Anolis sagrei: one gene and its partners. The main gene of each other region encodes a partner of the protein of the gene in region 2 in a complex. Links are inferred from orthologs where the notes say so. Each region holds a gene or a part of one and is shown on either strand. Other genes may lie near its edges.

Region 1 (7,136 bases), on a different chromosome or scaffold from region 2:
AAGATGATCTTTCCCTCTCCTCCTTTCTGAACTGTTTCAGACTTTTCCTTAACAAAGTATGACAGACACTGGCAGACAATTCCCCTGCGTTGTGGGAAGGGTTCCGTCATAAATTATACCCACTGTTCATGGGGGGTATAATTTACCTATTAATTTCATAGGTAAGGAGTACTCAAGAGATAGTTTTGTTAGTTCCTTCCTCATAAATATTGCCTAATGCACAGCCCTTGTTCTTGTTAACTGTCTTTAAGTTAACATTGACTTATAGCAACTCCATGAACAAAATACCTCCAAGTCATCCTATTATAAACAGCCCTGTTTAGGTCTTGCAGACTCAAGATCATGGCTTCCTTGATTGAGTCTATCCATCAGTGTATCTTCTTTTCCTACTACCTTCTACCTTACTAAGCATTACTGTCTGTGACGGCGCGTCTGGCCCCACTTGTATGTGAATGTACAGTTGAATTGTTTGGTTATCTATAGCTGTCAATCAATGTTGTTTTGCACCGGTTAAATTGCCCCCCCCCCCCAGCCCAATTGTTTGGCTCCGTCCCTTCCTGGGGAAGAGGGCCGTGCTTTCTTTTTCATTCCACCATCAACAGCTCAACAGATGGACGCGAGAAAGGCTTGGCTCTAAGCCCTAGTCAAGTAATCTCTTATCACCAATTCTTAAGTTTGTACTCTTAAGATTCATGCTTCATGCCCAGTTCACCCTGGATGACGTTGAGGAATCTTAAGCGCCTTCAAACCAGTCCTTTGGCATCAAGAGGAAGACTTTGTGCCTTCAATATAGGTCATTGGACTGGGATTGTGAATGTTCCGACTTTCACAGCCATTGAGAAAGAGGGAACTTGGAAAGCTTCTCAGCTGGAAAACTCCTTAGACCCAAGACTACAAAGACTGTAATGTATATTTTCTTTACCCCCTTTGAAACATCAAGTTTAATGCCTGAAGGATAACTCATTGTGAACAATAAAGCCTATTTCGAGTTATCTATAGTGTCTTGATCCTTGAGAGTTCCAGTTCTCTAAAGGAGGCCAAGAAGCAATCCCCTGGGAATGCCTTTTCAAGATATGTCAAAATTACAACAGTCTCAATTTAGCCATCTTGGCTTCTAGGGAGAGAGTTCGGGCTTAATTTGTTCTAGGACCCATTAATTTGTCTTTAGACATCCACAGTATCTGCAGAACGGTTCTCCAGCGCCACATTTCAAATTAGTTGATTTTCTTCCTATTAGCTTCCTCACTGTCCAGCTTTCAGAATCAGAAACAGGAAATACAATGGCTTTAGTACTCTAAGTCCCAGTCTTCTTCTGATTTCTTGACTTCAGTCCCCATTTCAATTTATGACTGAAGCAAGGTAAGTAAAATCTTGAACTATTTCTATGTTAAATATATGCAAATTATTGGCAGTCATTTTTGTTGCGCAGAAGCAGATTTTAGCCAAGTCCCATGCAAACGACACACAAGCAAGCGGAAAAAGGAAAACTGTACTCTTATCAGCAGAGGCATAAACTTGCAGTGTTGCATACAAAATCAAACAGTGCAACAAACCTACATAGTCCTTGTAAGTAACACAGAATAAGGCTTCATCTTCATTCAAATGAGAGAGCAAACCATAAACCTTGAGTAAATAGCTATTCCACCATAGCAAAGAGCATCGCTGTTTAGCATAGCAGCATTACAGCATATTGCTTCTCTTCCTCAGAGTTGCATATTGCTTCTTCAAACTGAATTCTAAAATCCATACAGTTAAACTCCACCAGGTGTGGCCCAAACATGCTGGCTGACCTACATTACTAGCTGCACATAATAATTAACATCATAATGTTTTCTTTAACACACACTTGATCCTGTTACGACTTACTGTAACAATTTTTGTTTTCTTAAAGTTTAATATTAAACCTCCCCTTTCTTCCCTTGACTTCAAAATATTTACTATTTTCACCTGCATATCTTAAATTACTGAAGTTTCTTTCTCCAATTTTGCACATTCCTTCCTCCAAGTCTAATCCTACTTTCCATATCATCAGTTCAGTATGTATGTTAAACTGATAAGGTAATAAAATTCAGTCTTGCTTGACGCACTTGCCACTCTGAAACCATTTCATTTTACCATATTCTGTCCTGTTGTCCTAAGTACAGGTTACACATTAAGACAATCCAATGTTATGACATCTCCATTGTTTTAAAAATGATTAATAGTTTCATGATCAATCAAAGGTTTTGCTAGATTTGTAGTGATTTCCTGTGTGTTAGTTCTATTTTGTGTGTGTTAGTTCTATTATCATGCAGATGATTATAATGTGATTCTTTAGTGCCTCTTCCTTTCCTTTGCTATAATACCTGTCATTTATTTTTGTAGAGCTTTATACATCACATTAGTTACATGGTAAATGAATGCAATAATGATGATGATGATGATGATGATGATGACACAGAGCAGGAGAGAAAACCGGTGAAAGAAGGCTCTCCATGGACAGTTCCTGGGAAAAATTGAGAGCCAAATTGACAAAAAACAAACAAACATGGCTGTGGCTCACAAATGGAACTCTAAAAAGGAGACAGAGGGCCTGATTCTGGCAGCCAAATAACAAGCTATTAGAACCAATGCCATCAAAGCCAGAATTGAAAAGTCAATGACAGATCCCAAATGCAGACTCTGCAAGGAAGCAGATGAAACAATAGATCACATCCTCAGCTGCTGCAAGAAGATCGCGCAGACAAGACTACGAGGAGAGGCATAACACCATTGCGCAGATGATTCATTGGAACTTGTGCCACAAATACCATCTGCCTGTGACAAAGAACTGGTGGGATCACAAGCCGGAAAAAGTTACAGAGAATGAACACATCAAGCTACTCTGGGACTTCTGAATTCAGACAGAGTTTTGGAGCACGATTCTCCTGACCTCACAATCGTGTTAAAAAACAAAGTATGGATTGTCGATGTTGCAATCCCAGGTGACAGCAGGATTGAAGAGAAACAACTGGAAAAGCGGGCCAAATGCACAGCATAAAATGATGAAACACTGGATGAGATAGCAATGAAAAGGTACATTTGTGAGGGCAGAGCTCATACAGTAGAATTAGACTTTCAATAAGGTGTGGGAAAGTGCAATATGAGGGAAACAGTGTAGGTGAAACAACAGGTCTGGAATATATGGTCACTCTCCAAAGGCACATCAGAAAAGCCAGGTCTTTAGATCTTTCTTAAAGGCTGGTAGGGTGGGAGTTTGCCTAATCTCACCAGGTAGTGAATTCCATAGCCTGGAGGCCACAGCGGAGAAGGCTCTCTCCCTGGCTCCCACAAGTCGTGCCTGTGATGGAGGAAGAGGCGAAAGGAGCCCCCCCCCCCCCCAAGGATCGGAGGGAACGTGCAGGTTTGTGGAAGGAGATGCGGTCACGAAGGTAGGCAGGTCCCAAACCATTTAGGGCTTTATAGGTGATAACCTGCACCTTGAATTGGGACCGGAAAATGAACGGCAGCCAATGGAGCTGCTTAGACAGGAGGGTTGACCGCTCCCTGTAGTCCTGTGGTTACTGCAATCCCTAATATCTCCTTTCTTGGGAGACAGAATGTATATTGAATGTTTCCAATCCATGGGCCATTGTTTAGTTTTTCCATATTTACAGGTTTTAGTTAGAAACAGTTCTATTGGCATGCAATCTGTTCTTGGCGATATCTTTCTCCCAAGTGCTCTGGCTGCAGTTTCCACTTCTCCTTCTAAAATTAGAGGCTCATCTTCCAATGTTTTGTTCTTTCATGAATCTGTCATCCATGTTTTGTAGGTTGAATTGTAGACTATAGGAGCCTAAATACCCAAACTCCAGCTTTGGACTTCTACTCCCAGAAGCCTCAGCTGCGTCGGTCAAGTATTTAGGGATCATGGGAGTTGAAGTCCAAAACACTCAGAGGACGAGTTTGGGAAATACTGCGCCCTGATTGGCTACCCACGCACCTCGTGACCAAACAGCCTCCTCACTGAACGAGGGAAACGTCGCGTGAGGGAGCGCGTGCGCATTAAGACCTCCGGAGCGGGAGGGAGATACGATTCCTGTGACCCGGACGTGGAAATGACGCAGCAGCAAGGAACGCGTTCCTTTCCGGTCGGGCGGCGTGCTCTGGGCAGGGAGCGAAGCCGCTGCCGAGATGAGTGTCCCAGCTTTTATCGACATCACGGAGGAAGACCAGGTGGGGAGGCGAGGCGGTGGTGTTCCCGCTCAGGCTGACCTTCCAGGGGAGGCCCATGGGCCGCGGCAGGCCCCTCAGCAGCCCCGCCTGCCTGCCTGCCTGCCTTCCCTCCCAGCGGGGCCCTCGCGAGTCCCTTTCCCTGCGGCGGCTGGCATAGGCCCTTCCCTTCCCAGCCCCACCTCACCCAGGTATGGGCTAACTTCGGCCCTTCAGGTGCTTTGAACTTCAACTCCCACAATTCCGAACAGGCTGCTAGGAATTGTGGGGGTTGAAGTCAAAACACCTGGAGGGCCCAAGTTGGCCCATTCTTGGCCCAATCCCAGTGCAATGCCATCACCTGCAACAGAGTTTCCCAACCCTTTGGCCCTCCAGATGTTTGGACTTAGCCTCCCAGAAGTCATGACAAGGTGTGCGTCCTCAATGTTGAAGTAATGCAATTGGACATCCCTTGACCTGCCCTGGCTCATTGCTGTGGAGTCCTGGGTATTGTAGTTTGTTGAGGCCCCAGCACCCTTTGGCAGAAAAGGCTAAGGACCCCATAAAACTTTTAACTCCTGTGATTCTATAGCATTGGGCCATGGCAGTTAAAGGAGTGTCAAGCTGCATTAATCCTAAAGTGTAGATCCACCTGTTGCAAAATGTGTGGAGCTTCCAGGAGATGTAGCTCAAAACACCTGGAGGAACAAAGTTTGGGAACAGCTGATCTGTACGGAAGATGGACAGTAATCTATGAAAAAGTTCTTGTTGGGGTGATATACGGGCGTCCCAAGGAGAAGCAATAGAGTTTAATAGAAGGCTGTTACAGGCTGAGTGTCCCTTGCCCAAAATGCCTGGGCCAGATGTAGTCTGCGGTGATAGTATGATAGCTGGGTCCAGAAGCTCCGAGCGTTACGGAGATGCCACAAAGGCGGCTGTGAATAAGGGAAGAGAGGGAGCTGAGTGAGAGCAGGAAGAGCGAAGGAAGGATAGAAAGGAGGGGATGCTTAGGGTAAGGGTTAGGGCAAGGGTTTGGGTAAGGGTAAGGGGTTAGGGTTAGGCTTATGGTACGGTTCTGGGTTAGGGTTAGGGTTTCACCATTAAAGAACTCTTACATTCCTTCTATATCTGTCTCCGGCCTGGCTTACATTAGTTAAGTCTCTCTTGTGCAAACAGCGCTCCCGAAGGAGCGATGCAGCATCTCTGTAACGCTTGGATCTTCTGGACCCAGCTATCATACTATTACTTAGTCTGCATTTCATTTTTTCTCTAGGTCATGGAATATTTTCATATATATATACGGTAATAAGATGTCAAAACGTGAGATTCCTTTATGTTGACATACACCTTATGCCAGTGGTTCTCAACCTGTGGGTCTCCAGGTGTTTTGGCTTACAGCTCCCAGAAATCCCAGGCAGTTAACCAGCTGTTAGGATTTCTAGGAGTTGAAGGCCAAAACATGGGGAACCACAGGTTGAGAACCACAGCCATATGCTTATAGTATGACAAAGGTGTCACTATCATAGCAAGGCATATGGACAATTTGGGGGCTTCTGAATAATTCTAGATCCTGAATAAGGGATGCTCAGTCTGCACTGTAGATTAGTCTGACCCATCAGGAAACCTTTCTCCCTACTTGTAGTTATCAGCAGTTCCTTGCACTGTAAAGTAGAAGAATCAGCAAAGTCTTAATTATAGCTTTGCCATATAATTATGAACAGATTGATTAGGGCTTTTCTGTAGGATCTGTGTGCACACATATCCTTTGGGGTTGTCAGGTTCATGGTGAGGACCTTAATAAGAATACTGTCACAAATGGGGTTTAGAAATATTTGGTTAGATTACATGCTCCTTTGCATTAAAATAGTGTCTAAATTCCAATTATATTGAAATTATGTATGCTGTCATAAATAACACATTGTGACCATCACTGCTAAGTTGTTAGATGTAAACTCCTTGCAACATTCATAAATAACTTTTAGGGGTGTTTTTTTGTTTGCTTGATTTTTGTAAGGCTGCAGAACTTAGGGCTTACCTGAAATCCAAGGGAGCAGAAATTTCTGAAGAGAATTCTGAAGGTGGACTTCATATTGACTTAGCCCAGATCATAGAAGCATGTGATGTGTGCTTGAGAGATGACGATAAAGGTTTGTATCATATTTTTAGGTAATTATTGATGAGGTGCTTGGATTGATAAGGATATGGGGTTATAACAGTGATGGCCAACTGCCCAAACTGAGTGCCCAAACCAGGGGTGGATGGTCAGTGAGGGTGGGTGGCATAGATTCGCCACCACAAGAGTTACCATGTAGTTGGAATCCTCTCCAAATCCATTTGGAATGGAAATGGTACTGGTTTGCCTGGTAGATGATTTACATCTGGGAGTGAAAGGAAAAGATTTACCTCTGTTGTCTCTCTTGTACCTTTTTTTTACTGCTGTCCACAGTATCCTTTTGGACTATCTAGCTAATTCTGACTTACGAGGTATGTTAATGGTAGTGCTAGGCCTTCCTGGAGGATCAGTCCCATAATGTGTTGTTGAGGGATTTTTGCTCAGACCTGTAGATGGCTCTTGTTCCTCCTATTGTCAAACATGAAATCATAGGGGAAAAATGTCTGGAGGTTCATCATAGTGTTACCAGCATATGGAGCGGTTCACAGTTCTACTTCTCTCTCTCTTTTTTTTACCTGCTAGTGCCAGGAACATCGCTGAATTTGCAGCAGATTTCTGGAGGCAATTTAGATGCAAATGAGAGCAAATAATGTACCACTTAAATTAGATAAAACATGTAGGAAACCAGCTGATCAGGATGGAACTGTTCAGCTAATAACTGCAGCTTGAGCTTCCTGTGGACACATCACTGTTGGTCAAAATGCAAGTAATATCAGTGGCTAAGAGTTGCTTTGACCAGTTTTAGGTTGGATGCAACTGGCATACCAAATTTTGATCAAAGAGGCTTGTACAC
Region 2 (6,927 bases):
TTTGAACTAGTTGGGTAATGATGTGTATGCCAAGTTTGGTCCTGATCCATCAAGCCATGGAGAAGGCTTTGTGGTACAAACCAACATGCATATTCTGATTTGTAGATCGACAGACAGATGCTGCAGTAGAACATTTGTGATTTTCAATTCCTTTATATATACACATAGAAGTGGGGTGTGTGTGGAAATATAGAAAATCATTACCGGATCTTTGGCGACCGTGAAGAGTAGATCTCCTTCCCTGTTATATTTGATCTGAGTAATAGACCGCTCATGGCCCTGCAAGAGGATAGGTTTCTGTGGGAAGAAAAGAACAATGTGCTTTAACACAGTCTGAACCATACTGCCTTGTAGAGATTTCATTCCTTTCTCTGTTTTTGCTCTCTGAATCTGCAAAGCTGTATCTATTTTTTGGAGAAGGTATAAATAGCAGTACATTTCTTATAAAACATAGCGCACCAAGAGATAACATGATAACATGTATCATATAAATTAAATATCCTATAACATACATGGATAGAAACACAAACACAGCTGTAGATTTATTCCTATTATTATTGTTATTCATACTCCTATCATTCCTAATATTAGTAGTATTCCTAATAATAGTAATAATAAACTTTATTTATACCATGCCACCATCTCCCATAGGGATTCGGGGCAACTCACAAAGCACACAATGGTGCCATACAACATAAAATACAATATATCAACATTAAAAACCAATAACACATTTAAAACTAGGCATATTAAGTTAACAAGAGCAACATAATCAATAAAATATGGCAATAATAATTAATTAAAAGATCCATACAATCAATTTAGACTTCCCTGGCTAAATATAGTAATCTGGTTAGTATCTTAAACATTATCAAAGGCCTGCAGAAAGAACCAAGTTTTTAGCTCTTTCCTATGATTATTATCATTATTATTATTCCTATTCTTATTATTAATCCTATTATTAGGAGTATTCCTATTATCATTATTATTCCATCCAGATAATGGAACAGTACCTTATTCCTATTCTTCCCATTATTATTTCAATTATTATTCCTATTGTTGTGAGGCCTATATTTAAAAAGCCACCCCTGATCCCTTCTATAATGGAGAGTTATCGGCCAGTGTGCACCCCTCCCCTTTCTGAGCAAGGACTTGGATCATGTGGTGGCCTCCCAACTTCAGGGATTTCTGGGTGAAATGGATTATCTAGATCAATTTCAATCTGGTTTCAGGCCTGGCAATGGAACAGATACAGCTTTGGTTGCCTTGGTGAATGACCTCCGCAGAGACCTAGATAGGGGGGAGTGTGTACTCTGTTAGTTCTCCTGGACCTTTCAGCAGCTTTCAATACCATCAACCATGGTATCCTTCTAGGTTGTCTCACAGGGATGGGATTGGGAGACACTGTCTTGCAGTGGCTCTGATCCTTCCTGAAAGGCCGTACCCAGAAGGTAGTGCTGGGGGACCCCTGGCTGTTGACCTGCGGGGTTCCTCAGGGTTCCATTTTAACCTACATGGTGTTTAACATATACATGAAACTGCTGGGAGATGTCATCCAGAGTTTTGGAGTATGATGCCACCTATACGCAGATGACATCCAACTCTACTACTCCTTTCCACCTAATGCCAAGGAAGCTGTTCTGACCCTAAACCAGCATCTATAATCAGCAATTATTTATTTATTTAAAACATTTATATTCCGCCCTTCTCACACCGCAGGGGGCTCAGGGCAGAGCACAACATATATATGGAAAACATTCAATGCCAGGACATAAAACCATAAATATATACAAACATTAAAATCACTTATATTCACATTAAAAGTTGCTTAAAAACCATCTCAGGACACCATTTTGCCTCATTGCACTGCCCCAAAGGCTTGGACCCACAGCCAGATCTTCACATTCTTCTGAAGGACAGGAGGGAGGAGGCTGATCTAATATTGTCATAACCGAGGGGCAATCACTGAGAAGGCCCTGTCTCTCATCCCTGCCAAACGCGCCTGTGATGGTGGCAGGGCCGAGAGCAGGGCCTCCCCAGAAGATCTTAGTTTCCGCAGTGGTTCGTAAAGGGAGATGCGTTCAGACAAATAAACTGGGCCTGGGATGTTTAGGGTTTTATAGGCCAAAGCCAGCACTTTGAATTGTGCCCGGTAGCAAACAGGCAGCCAGAGCAGCTGACGTAACATGGGAGTTGTGTGCTCCCTGTTAGCTGCCCTAGTTATTAACCTGGCTGCTTCTCTTTGGACTATTTGAAGCCTCTGAACCGTCTTCAAAGGCAACCCCACGTAGAGCATGTTGCAGTAGTCTATCCTGGATGTAATGAGAGCGTGGACCACCGTGGCCAAGTCTGGCTTCCAAAGGTACGGGCGCTGCTGGTGCACAAGTGTTAATTGTGCAAAAGCCCCCCTGGCCACCGCTGCTACCTGAGGATCCAGACTCAGCGATTAATCCAAAAGGACTCCTAAGCTGCGAACCTGTGCCTTCAAGGGGAGTGTAACCCCATCCAGCACAGGCTGCAACTGACCAGGATGACCTCGGATGAGGGCAAACAAATTGAAACTTCATCCAGACAAGACAGAGGTAGTCCTGATCAGTTGGAAGGCAGACCACGGAATAGGGATCCAGCCTGCGCTGGATGCCCCCCCCCCCCCCGAAAACACAGATTCAAAGTCTGGGGATCCTGCTGAAGCTATCGGCAGCGGCCAGGAGGGCCTTCGCACAATTAAAACTTGTGCACCAACTGCGCCCATTCCATGAGAAGCCAGATCTGGCAATGGTGATCCATGCCTTAGTTATATCCCATCTGGAATACTGTAACGCGCTCTAGGTATGGCTGCCTTTAAAGAGTGCTCAGAAACCTCAGCTGGTCCAAACACCTGCAGCAAGGTTGCTCACTGGGGCTGGCGATAGGGAACGGAGAGGCCCAGGCCCAGACCAGGCTGGATTGATCCACTAAACCGACTCATGGGCAGCTTCAGGGGAAGAGGGACTCACCATGGCTGCGGCAAAGGAAGGCCAGGCGGCGCAGAAGAGGCCAGATGAACCACTTCCGGCACGAGACCGGAAACGGAAAGCCGAAACCAGGTGTCCATAGAGATATAAAAAGAGAAGAGAGCCTCACACTTCCGGTTGACAAGAGCTGCGCCAAACCGGAAGTAGGACTTGTTTGCGTCAGTCTAGCCCTCTACTCTATGACCGGTCGCCATGGCGTCGCTGGGTGAGAAAGGAAGGGGGGGGACTTTAGTTTCATGCCCACGTGTATTAGAAACGGTGTGGGTCCATGGCCACCTTCGGCCTCTGTAGAAGCAGTGCGTCCCAGAGCTGGGAGGGATTCCCAGGGGTCACGCAGTCCAACTACTTTCTGGAGGCAGGAAAAGCACAACCAAAGCCCTCCCAACAGATGGCCATACAAACTCATAAGCAGGCTCATGGAGAAACAGGACTCAAAGAACCCTAGAATTGGAAGACAGGGACCCCAAAGGCCATGCAGTCCAACCTCCTTCTCCTATTATGCAGGAAGGCACCATCCAAGCCCTCCTGGCAGATGTCCATCCAGCCTCTGCTGAATATGAATAATATTATTAATAATAGAATCCTAGAGTTGAAAGGGACCCCAAACGCCATACAGTCCAACTCCCTTCTACAATTATGCAGGAAGGCACCACCCAAGCACTCCTGGCAGATGTCCATTCAGTCTATACTTAATATAATAATAATAATAATAATAATAATAATAATAGTAATAAGAGAATCCTAGAGTTGGAAGGGACCCCAAACGCCATACAGTCCAACTCCCTTCTACAATTATGCAGGAAGGCACCACCCAAGCACTCCTGGCAGATGTCCATTCAGTCTATACTTAATATAATAATAATAATAATAATAATAATAATAATAGTAATAAGAGAATCCTAGAGTTGGAAGGGACCCCAAACGCCATACAGTCCAACTCCCTTCTACAATTATGCAGGAAGGCACCATCCAAGCCCTCCTGGCAGATGTCAATTCAGCCTCTGCTTAATATATTAATAATAATAATAATAATAGAATCGTAGCATTGGAAGAGGTCCCAAAGGCCATCCAGTTCAACCTCCTTCTGCCATTATGCAGGAAGGCACCATCCAAGCCCTCCTGGCAGATGTCAATTCAGCCTCTGCTTAATATATTAATAATAATAATAATAATAATAATACGTTCAACCTAATAATAATAATACGTTCAACCTCCTTCTGCCATTATGCAGGAAGGAACCATCCAAGCCCTCCTGCAGATGTCAATTCAGCCTCTGCTTAATATATTAATAATAATAATAGAATCCTAGCATTGGAAGAGATCCCAAAGGCCATCCAGTCCAACCCCCTTCTACCATTATGTAGGAAGGCACCACCCAAGCCCTCCTGGCAGATGGTCATCCAGACTCTGCCTAATATATTATCAAAAATTGAGGCCCTAATGTCTGGATTGGGCTATCTGAAACCCTCACCTGTTTGGAATGCCAATATCCCTCCACAAAGCTTATCTTGTGTGGTGATTTTAATGCTAGAATTGGAGCGGGTGTGAAACAAGTGGAAGGCACTAACTTTGGACAAGATGGTCAGGTTACATCTGCTGACAGGGTTTCTCAAGACATAATCAGAAACAAGTCAAGTTTGGGTTGTTGTAGGTTTTCTCAGGCTATATGGCCATGTTCTAGAGGCCTTAGGAGAGAATGCCTCTAGAAAATGGCCATATAGCCCGAAAAAACCTACAACAAACCAGTGATTCCGGCCATGAAAGCCTTTGACAATACAAGTCAATTCTCTTAGAACTTCTCTCCTTGCATCCATTGCACTACCTCAATGGAACCCAGCATGACATAACGCAAGCTGCCTATACCTATGCCACCAACAGGGTACACAGGTATAGTACAATTGATTATACGGCAGTTTCTGCCAGCCTGCCTGAAAATCCCTTCAGGGTAAGAGGCACAGAGTATAATGTGGTAAATAAATAAATAAACACAAAAGAGAGTGGGACTATGAGTACCTTTAATCTAGACACTATATTATTTATGCAGCCTAGAATCACATTGGCCTTTTTCGCTGCTGCATCACAGTGTTGGCTCATGTTCAGCTTGTGGTCCACTCAGACTCCTAGACCCCGTTCCCATGGACTGCTTTCAAGCTAGGGGTCACCCATCCTATATCTATCCATTTTATGTTTATTGTCAAAGCGTCATATTATACATTTGTCCCTGTTGAAGTTCGTTTGGTTAGTTATTATGTTTATTTACACACTACTTTTTCCCTCCACAAGAAGCCTTACATTTTGAGTCCCCCACCCCCACTTTGAGTCCCCCCAGGGGTGAGAAAGGCTGTATATAAATACTGTAAATATTTATTTATTATTGATTTATTTACTTTATTTATATACCGCTTTTCTCAGCCCTCAGGCGACTCAAAGCAGTGAACAACATCTATACAAAACATCACGAGACAAGTATAGGGCAATTAAAAACAATTGTAACATAAATCATTAAACATCAGTAAATAAATAATAATAATAATTTTGATCCATCCTTTTAATCTCCCATGGTCACTTTGGATCCTGATCCTGCCTTCTAGAGTCTTAGCCATCCCTCCCAACAAGGTCCCATTTTCAAGTGTATAAACCTCCCTTCTATTCAGTTATCTAAGTCATCAATCGAGACTTTGAATAGTCCTGAATGGCCCAGGACTGGGCCCTCTTCTTGGCACTTCTCTCCAGGAGGAAGAGGGGTTTCTCGAATACTCTTTTGCAAAATCCTTCCAAATTACCATTACAATGATTATTAGAAGTTTCCTTTCTTGCAGGTGAACTAAGTGCCTGTCTCTTGGTGGCCCTTCTTTGGGGAGGGACCAACCCATTTTTGAAAAAGGGAACAGAAGGCCTGGAGCAAGTGAAGAAGGAGAGACGAAGCCTGCAGCTCCTGGCAGAAATGAAGTTCCTTTGCTTCAATTACAAGGTATTTGATAGTTCCCCCTATTAATATACTTACAAAAATAATAATAACTGTCTAATTCCCAGTAACTAAAGCACACAATTCTACTCTATCAAGTATACTAGGCTGACTGTTTTCCAGTGCTTGCACTTCTAAGACCTCTGGGGTTTTATGTTACATGGGATAATATTCTGTTTTGTTTGTTAATGCCTCACTATAGGCCATTTGCACACAAAGAAGTACAATATACAAGCACAACAATCCAAAAACATACCAAAGTACTTCATAAAACAATTGGAATACAGATCTCGCCTATTACAATTCAATACCATTAGAATACAATACCATTAAAATACAGTATCACACATCAAATGCATACAACGATATTAAAATTTAGATTAGATAAAATTCAATGCACTAAGAGCATCCTCATAGCGGTTCACTGCAATATCAGCAATGCATCTAGCCCAACATTTCATTGCTGCCAAGACAAAAAATGTGTGTTGTCATAGAATACATGGTTCTAGAGACAAGAAACAGAACAGTATGCATTTTAAACATTTTTTAATTATTGCAGTTGAAGATACTGGCTTGATTTGTCAAAAAATGACCCCTCCACTCCCTAAAATATGAATTTAAACATTATTTCTTGTGTGTGTGTGTACAGAATTAATATAACTTCCGCAGCTGCTGAGATTCAAAAGGTCCGATCTTGCTCAACAGCTAACCCCAAAACTGCCCAGAGCCCAGAAACCCCTAGAGGATTCATCTAATCAACTGCCAAGGCCAACAGCCCCATGGAGGTGGAAGAGAGATGTTCCTCAGACAATAGGATAGCCCCACACCCCTCTCCTGTAGAGTTTTGCCCTAACCAACACACTCTGAGGCTCCCTTTAGATCTGGATTCATGGAGATGATTTCTTGCTGAGAGATGGACGGGAATGAGGTGGTGGTGGTGGTGGGGAG
Region 3 (7,643 bases), on a different chromosome or scaffold from region 2:
TAAATTGGGGGCTATTTATCACGTCAGGAGTGAATTGAGACTAGTTAAAATGTATAAAAATGACCACAAAACTTGGCATGATGCTAAATGACCTTTGACAAGAAGCTGGCCACTGGTGTCGCTGTGAGAGGGTGCATATGGTAGGACTCAGACTGCATTGTAGCAAGTGGTTGGGAGGCCCTGGTGATGTCAGCTCCAGCTTCCGCTTTTTTTTTTTTCATGAGAAGGAACATGGGTTTTTGTTTTTTTTTTGCCGTGTCAGGAGCAACTTGAGAAACTGCAAGTCGTTTCTGGTGTGAAAGAATTGGTTGTCTGCAAGGACGTTGCCCAGGGGACGCCAGGATGTTTTGATGTTTTACCATCCTTGTGGGAGGCTTCTCCCATGTCACGAGACAGGGCCTTCTCTGTGGCGGCCCCCCGATTTTGGAATGCCCTTCCAAAAGATCTTCGCCAGGCCCCTACTTTAGCAGCTTTCAGAAAGAACCTAAAAACTTGGCTGTTCCGATGTGCCTTCTCAGATTAGGAATCCCCACCCAAGTCCTAGAAGCACTTTAGCACAATTAACATTAATGCACACCGTACTATTTTATTCCCATGCTCCTCCTACCACTCTAGCACTTTTAACCCTGTACCCCATTGCGCTGGCCGGCCCAGTTTTAAAGTGTCATGATGTATTGTTATTGTCGTTATTGCTTGCTTAACTTATTGATTTGCTATGTTTTCTACTGTTGTGTTTGTTTTACTGTATTGTGTTTTGAGGCTTCGGCCTGTGTAAGCCGCATTGAGTCCTCCGGGAGATGCTAGCGGGGTACAAATAAAGTTAATAAATAAATAAATAATAAATAAATGTCCCCCCACGGGGAGCTGAAGCTGACAGAGTGAGCTCATCCACGTTGACTGAAAGGTAGGCAGTTCGAATATGGGGAGTGGGGTGAGCTCCCGTCTGTCGGCTCTAGCTTCCCATGCGGAGACATGAGAGATGCCTCCCACAAGGATGGTAAAACATCCGGCTGTCCCCTGGGCAATGTTCTTGCAGGCGGCCAAATTCTCTCTCACACACCAGAAGCGACTTACAGTTCCTCAAGTCGTTCCTGACATGAGAAATTTTTTTAACTGGACGAATTACCACCAAATTTGGCCACAAGACACCTACTAACCCAAGGAGTAACCATCACTCAAAAATTAATTTTGTCATTTGGGAGTAGTAGTTGCTGGGATTTACAGTTCACCTACAATCAAAAAGATTTCTGAATTCCACCAATAATGGAACTGAACTAAACTTGGCACACAGGACTCCCATGACCAACAGAAAACACTGGAAGGGATTGATGGGCATTGACCTTGAGTTTGGGAGTTGTAGTTCACCTACATCCAGAGACCACTGTGGACCCAAAAAATGATGGACCTGGACCAAACTTGGCATGAACACTCCATATGGCCAAATATGAACACAGATGGGGTTTCGGGGGAAATACACCTCGACATTTGGGAGTTGTAGTTACTGGGATTTATAGTTCACCTACAATCAAAGAGCATTCTGAACCCCACCAATGACAGAATTGGGGCAAACTTCCCACACAGAACCCCCATGACCAACAGAAAATACTTAGGGCCATTCAGTCCAACTCCCTTCACTAGGGCAAAACGTAATCAAAGTCCTCCTGACAAAGAGCCATCCAGCCATAGATTTAGATAGATAGATATGATTCACACAAACACAGATATAGTATCATAGGTTTGAAAGGGACCCCCAAAGAAGGACAATTATAAGTTGCATGTTCCAGAGTAGGCAAACCAGACAATCTACCTGCGTGACCGCATATCCATCTACGAACCCACACGTTCACTTCGGTCATCTGGAGAGGCCCTGCTCGTGATCCCACCGGCGTCGCAAGCGCGCTTGGTGGGGACGCGGGACAGGGCCTTTTCCGTGGTGGCCCCCTGACTCTGGAACACCCACCCCAAAGACCTTAGACAGGCCCCTTCATTGGCTGTCTTCAGAAAGAACTTGAAGACCTGGCTTTTCCGATGCGCCTTCCCAGATTAGGAAATCTCCAATACCAAGTCCCAAGAGCACTTTATCAGAACCAATGATTGCTGCACATCGCACATCGCACTTGCCCTGGAAGCCCTATATACACCTCCTGTCACATCAGCACTTTTAATCTTTGTACCCATTCTCTGGACCGGCCCAGTTTTATCGTGTTTTAGTGTATTGTGCCTGCTGATTTGGTGTTTTTTTTTTTTTTGCTTTATTCTGTTTTTAATTTGTTTTATTTGCTTAGATTGTATTGTTGTGTTGTGTGTTCTGTAAGCCGCATCGAATCCTTCGGGAGATGCTAGCGGGGTACAAATAAAGTTTAATAATAATAATTAAATAATAATAATCTCCATGTCAACACTGACAAAGAAACAGCAAGAAATATTGTTTACCCAGAAACATAAAGAAATTACATATATTAGAAACCAACACTTTCTCATTACTGTATTTTCCAGATCACCAGACTGGGCCACAGCAACGCCTGGCAAGGGGACGGCTAGTAATTTATATAATAAGTGGTTTGCTCTTTACTTCAGCGGCTGAGGAAGGGATAGGAATGGGCCTGAGGGTGTGAGGAAGTATGGGAGTTGGAGTCCAAAACAGCTGGAGGGAGGGCCCAAGTTGGCCCAGGTCTGCTACAGAGCCCTCCTTGTTCGTAACTTGGTGAAAAAAGGAGGGAAGAGAAGCAGAGCGAGGCCTTTCCCACCTTGACATCCTCGTCCTCGTCCTCCCCGGCCCACCGGTCTCCCGCCGCCGCCACGGAGGGCGTGGGCAGCCGGGCCTGGTGCCGCCCGTCCTCCTCCGCCTCCGCCGCCGTCGTCTCGAAGGAGTCTGCGCCGGAGAAGGGAGAGGGTGTCAGCAGGGGGCGAAAAAGAGGCCCTTCCTTCCCACCTCCAGGCCTGCCTTCCCGGCCACACTCACCCCAGGAATCCGCCACCGCCGCCATCTTGGTTCTGCCTCAGGCCCGTCAGGCACTCGCGGCCAAGGCCGGAAGAGGAAGAGCCAGACGCCCGCGCGGGGGATGCCGGGAGGAAAAGGAATACGCCGAGAGAGGGCGGGGCCTTAACAAACCACGCCCCTTCAAACAAAGCCACGCCCCCTCCAGCCTACCCAGAGCAACAACGAGATTGGGAGCTTTGAGATGGTTGAACAGAAGCTTTCCGAAGCTCTGGGTGCTCTTACTGCCTATTACAGGGAAAACCAACTGATCCCCAACCCATCCAAAACACAGACATCTGCCTTTCATCTCAAGAACAGACAAGCATCCTGAGCTCTGAGGATCACCTGGAAAGGAATCCCACTGGACCATTGCAGCGCACCCAGATACCTGGGAGTCACTCTGGACCGTGCGCTGACCTACAAGAAGCACTACCTGCACTTCAAGCAAAAAGTGGGCACTAGAAACAATATACGAAAGCTGACTGGCACAACCTAGGGATCACAACCAGACACAGTGAAGACATCTCTCCTTGCGCTATGCTACTCTGCTGCTGAGTATGCATGCCCAGTGTGGGACACATCTCACCACACTAAAACAGTGGATGTGGCTCTTAATGAGACATGCCGCATTATCACGGGGTGTCTGCGCCCCACACCACTGGAGAAATTACACTGCTTAGCCGGTATCACACTACCTGACATCCGCTGGGGAGTAGCAGCCAATAGTGAAAGGACCAAGGCAGAGACGTCTCCAGCTCATCCACTGTTTGGGTATCAACCAGCACGTCAATGACTTAAATCAAGAAATAGTTTTCTAAGATCTACAGAGACACTCGCTGGAACACCTCAGCAAGCCAGAGTCCAAAAGTGGCAGGCTCAAACCCAGAACCTCAACCAGTGGCTGATACCAAATGAGAGACTCCCTCCTGAGAACACAGAAGACTGGGCAACTTGGAAGGCACTGAACAGACTGCGCTCTGGCACCACAAGATGCAGAGCCAACCACAAGAAATGGGCCCACAAAGTGGAGTCCACGACATGCGAGTGTGGAGAAGAGCAAACCACTGACCACCTGCTGCAATACACCCTAAGCCCTGCCACATGTACAATGGAGGACCTTCTTGCGGCAACACCAGAAGCACTCCAAGTGGCCAGATACTGGTCAAAGGACATTTAATCAACTACCAAACTCGCAAATTTTGTATTTTGTCTGTTTGTTTGTTTTGTTCTGTTAGAAATGTAATACAATTGTCTGGTTGCCCCTGACACGATAAATAAAAAAAATAACATTGACAATGAAATGCAACACTGCCTGAGCTCTGCGAGTGCAGCATTTTTGCAAATGAAGCAGAGAGTGTTTGAGGACCGGGACATCCGTAGGGATACCAAGATGCTTGTTTATAAAGCTATTGTCCTCCCAACCCAGCTATATGCCTGCGAGACGTGGATTGTCTACAGGCGTCACATGCAGCTCCTGGAACGATTCCATCAGCGCTGCCTCCGGAAAATCCTGCAAATCTCTTGGGAAGACAAGTGGACAATGTCAGCGTGCTAGAAGAAGCAAAGGCCACTAGTATTGCCGAAGGCTTTCATGGCCGGAATCACTGGGTTGTTGTAGGTTTTTATTGGGCTATATGGACATGTTCTAGAAGCATTCTCTCCTGACGTTTCACCTGCATCTGTGGCAAGCATCCTTACTACCTTTGAGGATGCTTGCCATAGATGCAGGCAAAATATCAGGAGAGAAGGCCTCTAGAACATGGCCATATAGCTCAAAAAACCTACAACAACCCAAAGACCACCAGCATTGAAGCCATGGTCCTCCGCCATCCACTCTGCTGGACCCGTCAAGTTGTTTGGATGCCCGACCACCGTCTCCCAAAGCTGTTTCTCTTCTCCGAACTCAAGAATGTTGGTGGACAGGAAAAGAGATGTATAAATGGGCTCTAATCTAACCTTACAAACTCTGGCATAGACACTGAAAACCGGGAAGCCCTGGCCCTTGAGCGCTCCAGCTGGAGGTCAGCTGTGACCAGCAGTGCTGTAGAATTTGAAGAGGCATGAATGGAGGGCAAAAGAGAGAAATGTGCCAAGAGGAAGGCGCGTCAAGCAAACCCCAACTGGGATCGCCTTCCACCTGGAAACCAATGCCCTCGCTGTGGGAGACGATGCAGATCAAGAATAGGGCTCCATAGTCACCCTGGAGGATTATCCTGCTCGGATGACGAGGGATCGCCTAAGTAAGTAAGTAAGTAAGTTAGCCTCAGCAGTAGACTGAAAGCAAAAACCGAGGACACAGCAGTATCTGTTATAGAACTCCAATATGCCGATGATAATATGGTCTGTGCTCACTGAGAAGAAGACCATACAAGTTGGAAATGACAATCTTCTTCAGGCCTTCTCTAGTAAAGGGTTGCTGTGAGTTTTCCGGGCTGTCTGGCAATGTTCCAGAATCATTTTTTCCTGACGTTTCGTCTACATCTATATCAGGCATCTTCAAAGGTGGTGAAGTCTGTTGGAAACTAGACAAGTGAGGTTTATCTATCTGCATAATGTCCAGTGTGGGAGAAAGAACTATCAATGGCACTAATTATTATTGTTAATTTTTATTTAATATTATTTAGTATGATTATTTTATTACTATTTTGACTATTATTATAGTCAAAATAAAGAGCAAACCACAAACAGGCGGGCCCCAAGTTACAAAGTAAAGAGCAAACCACAAACCACTTATTATATATTTTTTTATTATTATTTACTTCACCTGTATACCGTTTTTCTCACCCCAAGAGGAGACTTAAACATATTTATGGAAAAATATTATTATTATTTAGTATGATTCACTATGTAACATGATTTGTATTCCTGGGTTATCAATGCCATTATTATTATTTATTTATTTGGTATTGTTATTATTATTTAATATGATTTACTATGTAACATAAACACATTTTTTCCCTGGGTTGTCAAAGTCATTACAAAGTCACTGTGGGAGAAGATGCGGGTCAAAAACAGGGCTCCAAAGCCACCTACAAATCCACAAGGAAACCCATAATGGAAAACCATCTTACTCGTCCAATGAGGGATCGCCTAAGTAAGTAAGTAAGCAAAGTCATTAATAATTATTACTAATTATTTATTTAGTATTTATTATTATTTAATATGATTAATTTATTATGATTATTATTGTGGCTATTATTATTTTGTATGATTCAATATGTAACACAATTTTTGTTCCTGAGTTATCAATATCATTAATTAATATTATTAATTATTTAGTATTTATTATTTTTATGATTATTATTAATTAGTGTGATTATTTTATTATTGTGACTATTGTTATTATTTGGCATGATTCACTAGGTGCAACACGATTTTTGTTCCTGGGTTATCAATGTTATTGATTTATTATTATTATATTTTTATTTTTATTTTACTGACACAAAGCCACAGTATGTCACAGTAAACAAGATCTATATGCTGGATTTTGTATCAAAAAATCACAAGTCGAACACTTTCCAAGCGTCTAGGACTGTGTGATGTATTTCCGAATTAGGCGCGCAGATCCAAGTAAGGTGGTGTTTTGCAGTTGACAGATGATTTTGTCAATGTTTATTGTTTCCAAAAGCTGGCTGAGATCTTTTTGCACGGCACCCAGTGTGCCGATCACCACTGGGACCCCCTGGACTGGTTTATGCCAGAGCTTTTGCAATATTTATTATTATTATTATTATTATTAAATATTATTAATATTTGATATGATTCACTATGTAACACAAACATGGTTTTTATTCCTGGGTTATCAATGTATTAATTTATTATTGCTATTTATTATTATTTAGTATGATTATGATTTACTATGAATATTATTATTTAGTATGGTTCACTGTGTAACGTGATTTTTGTTCCTGGATTATGTCATCTCCTAATTGGTTCTATCATTAAAAGCATGAGAAAAGTTTATTAAACTGTGAAAAATTTGTTTTTGTGGGAAGGCACCCTGCAGCAGCACATTTGGGTCTAATTTCCCCATAAATATCTCAACCAATTCAGCCTAGTTTGTGGCAGCCACAAAAACAAAGTTCTGGTGTAGAACAACTACTTTCAAAGTAAAGACTGCACAATTAATCAGGGAGTAATGCATTCAAACCAGAAACAAAAAAAAAATATTAAAATTTTGTCACATAGTGTTATTAGTGGGCTTAGCATACACTTAGCAAACATGCCAGCCTATGACTGAAACAACCAACAGTGCATGCTTTGCAATCACAAGATAGGAGCATTGAGCAGATGGAAAGTGAAGGCAGAGATCAATGCCTGGCCTGTACTTTTGGATCCTCAAGATTGCCAGCACGATTTATATTTGAATAGAAAGTGGCAACCTACTCTGCTTTAGTAATTGTGGGTCTGCAAATCATTCTGCTGCTGGCCTTCCAAAAGAAATGCTCAAGGGAACTCCCATCCCGGGTTTTCCTCTCCTCTTGCAAACCCCATCAGAAGAACCTCACGGGAATCAATAATTTCAATGAGTGTGAATTAACCAATAGAAATTCCCTCTCCTCCAGCAACAGCCAAGCGCCGTTGGGTCTCAACCCTCAGGTAGATGAGGGTTCAGATTTGAGTCCCCCTCGAAACCGCTTTGAGTCCCCCTCGAGGTGAGAAA

What was found.
Region 1: EIF3I (region 2) and EIF3M share a complex: the UniProt entries of both Homo sapiens proteins name them as parts of the eukaryotic translation initiation factor 3 (eIF-3) complex. The link is inferred for Anolis sagrei from reciprocal best matches to the Homo sapiens genes EIF3I and EIF3M.
Region 3: EIF3I (region 2) and EIF3J share a complex: the UniProt entries of both Homo sapiens proteins name them as parts of the eukaryotic translation initiation factor 3 (eIF-3) complex. The link is inferred for Anolis sagrei from reciprocal best matches to the Homo sapiens genes EIF3I and EIF3J.

The regions. Positions count from the first base shown.
Region 1 is NC_090021.1:257,527,386-257,534,521, reverse strand, and holds the start of EIF3M (eukaryotic translation initiation factor 3 subunit M), read left to right. Parts: upstream 1-4,075; 5' UTR 4,076-4,076; coding exon of another isoform or gene 4,077-4,152; coding exon 4,153-4,194; intron 4,195-6,184; coding exon 6,185-6,317; intron 6,318-7,136. UniProt on the Homo sapiens protein: Component of the eukaryotic translation initiation factor 3 (eIF-3) complex, which is required for several steps in the initiation of protein synthesis.
Region 2 is NC_090034.1:83,413,440-83,420,366, forward strand, and holds the start of EIF3I (eukaryotic translation initiation factor 3 subunit I), read right to left. Parts: upstream 3,106-6,927; 5' UTR 3,000-3,105; coding exon 2,997-2,999; intron 298-2,996; coding exon 205-297; intron 1-204. UniProt on the Homo sapiens protein: Component of the eukaryotic translation initiation factor 3 (eIF-3) complex, which is required for several steps in the initiation of protein synthesis.
Region 3 is NC_090029.1:23,331,812-23,339,454, reverse strand, and holds the start of EIF3J (eukaryotic translation initiation factor 3 subunit J), read right to left. Parts: upstream 3,062-7,643; 5' UTR 2,988-3,061; coding exon 2,963-2,987; intron 2,873-2,962; coding exon 2,748-2,872; intron 1-2,747. UniProt on the Homo sapiens protein: Component of the eukaryotic translation initiation factor 3 (eIF-3) complex, which is required for several steps in the initiation of protein synthesis.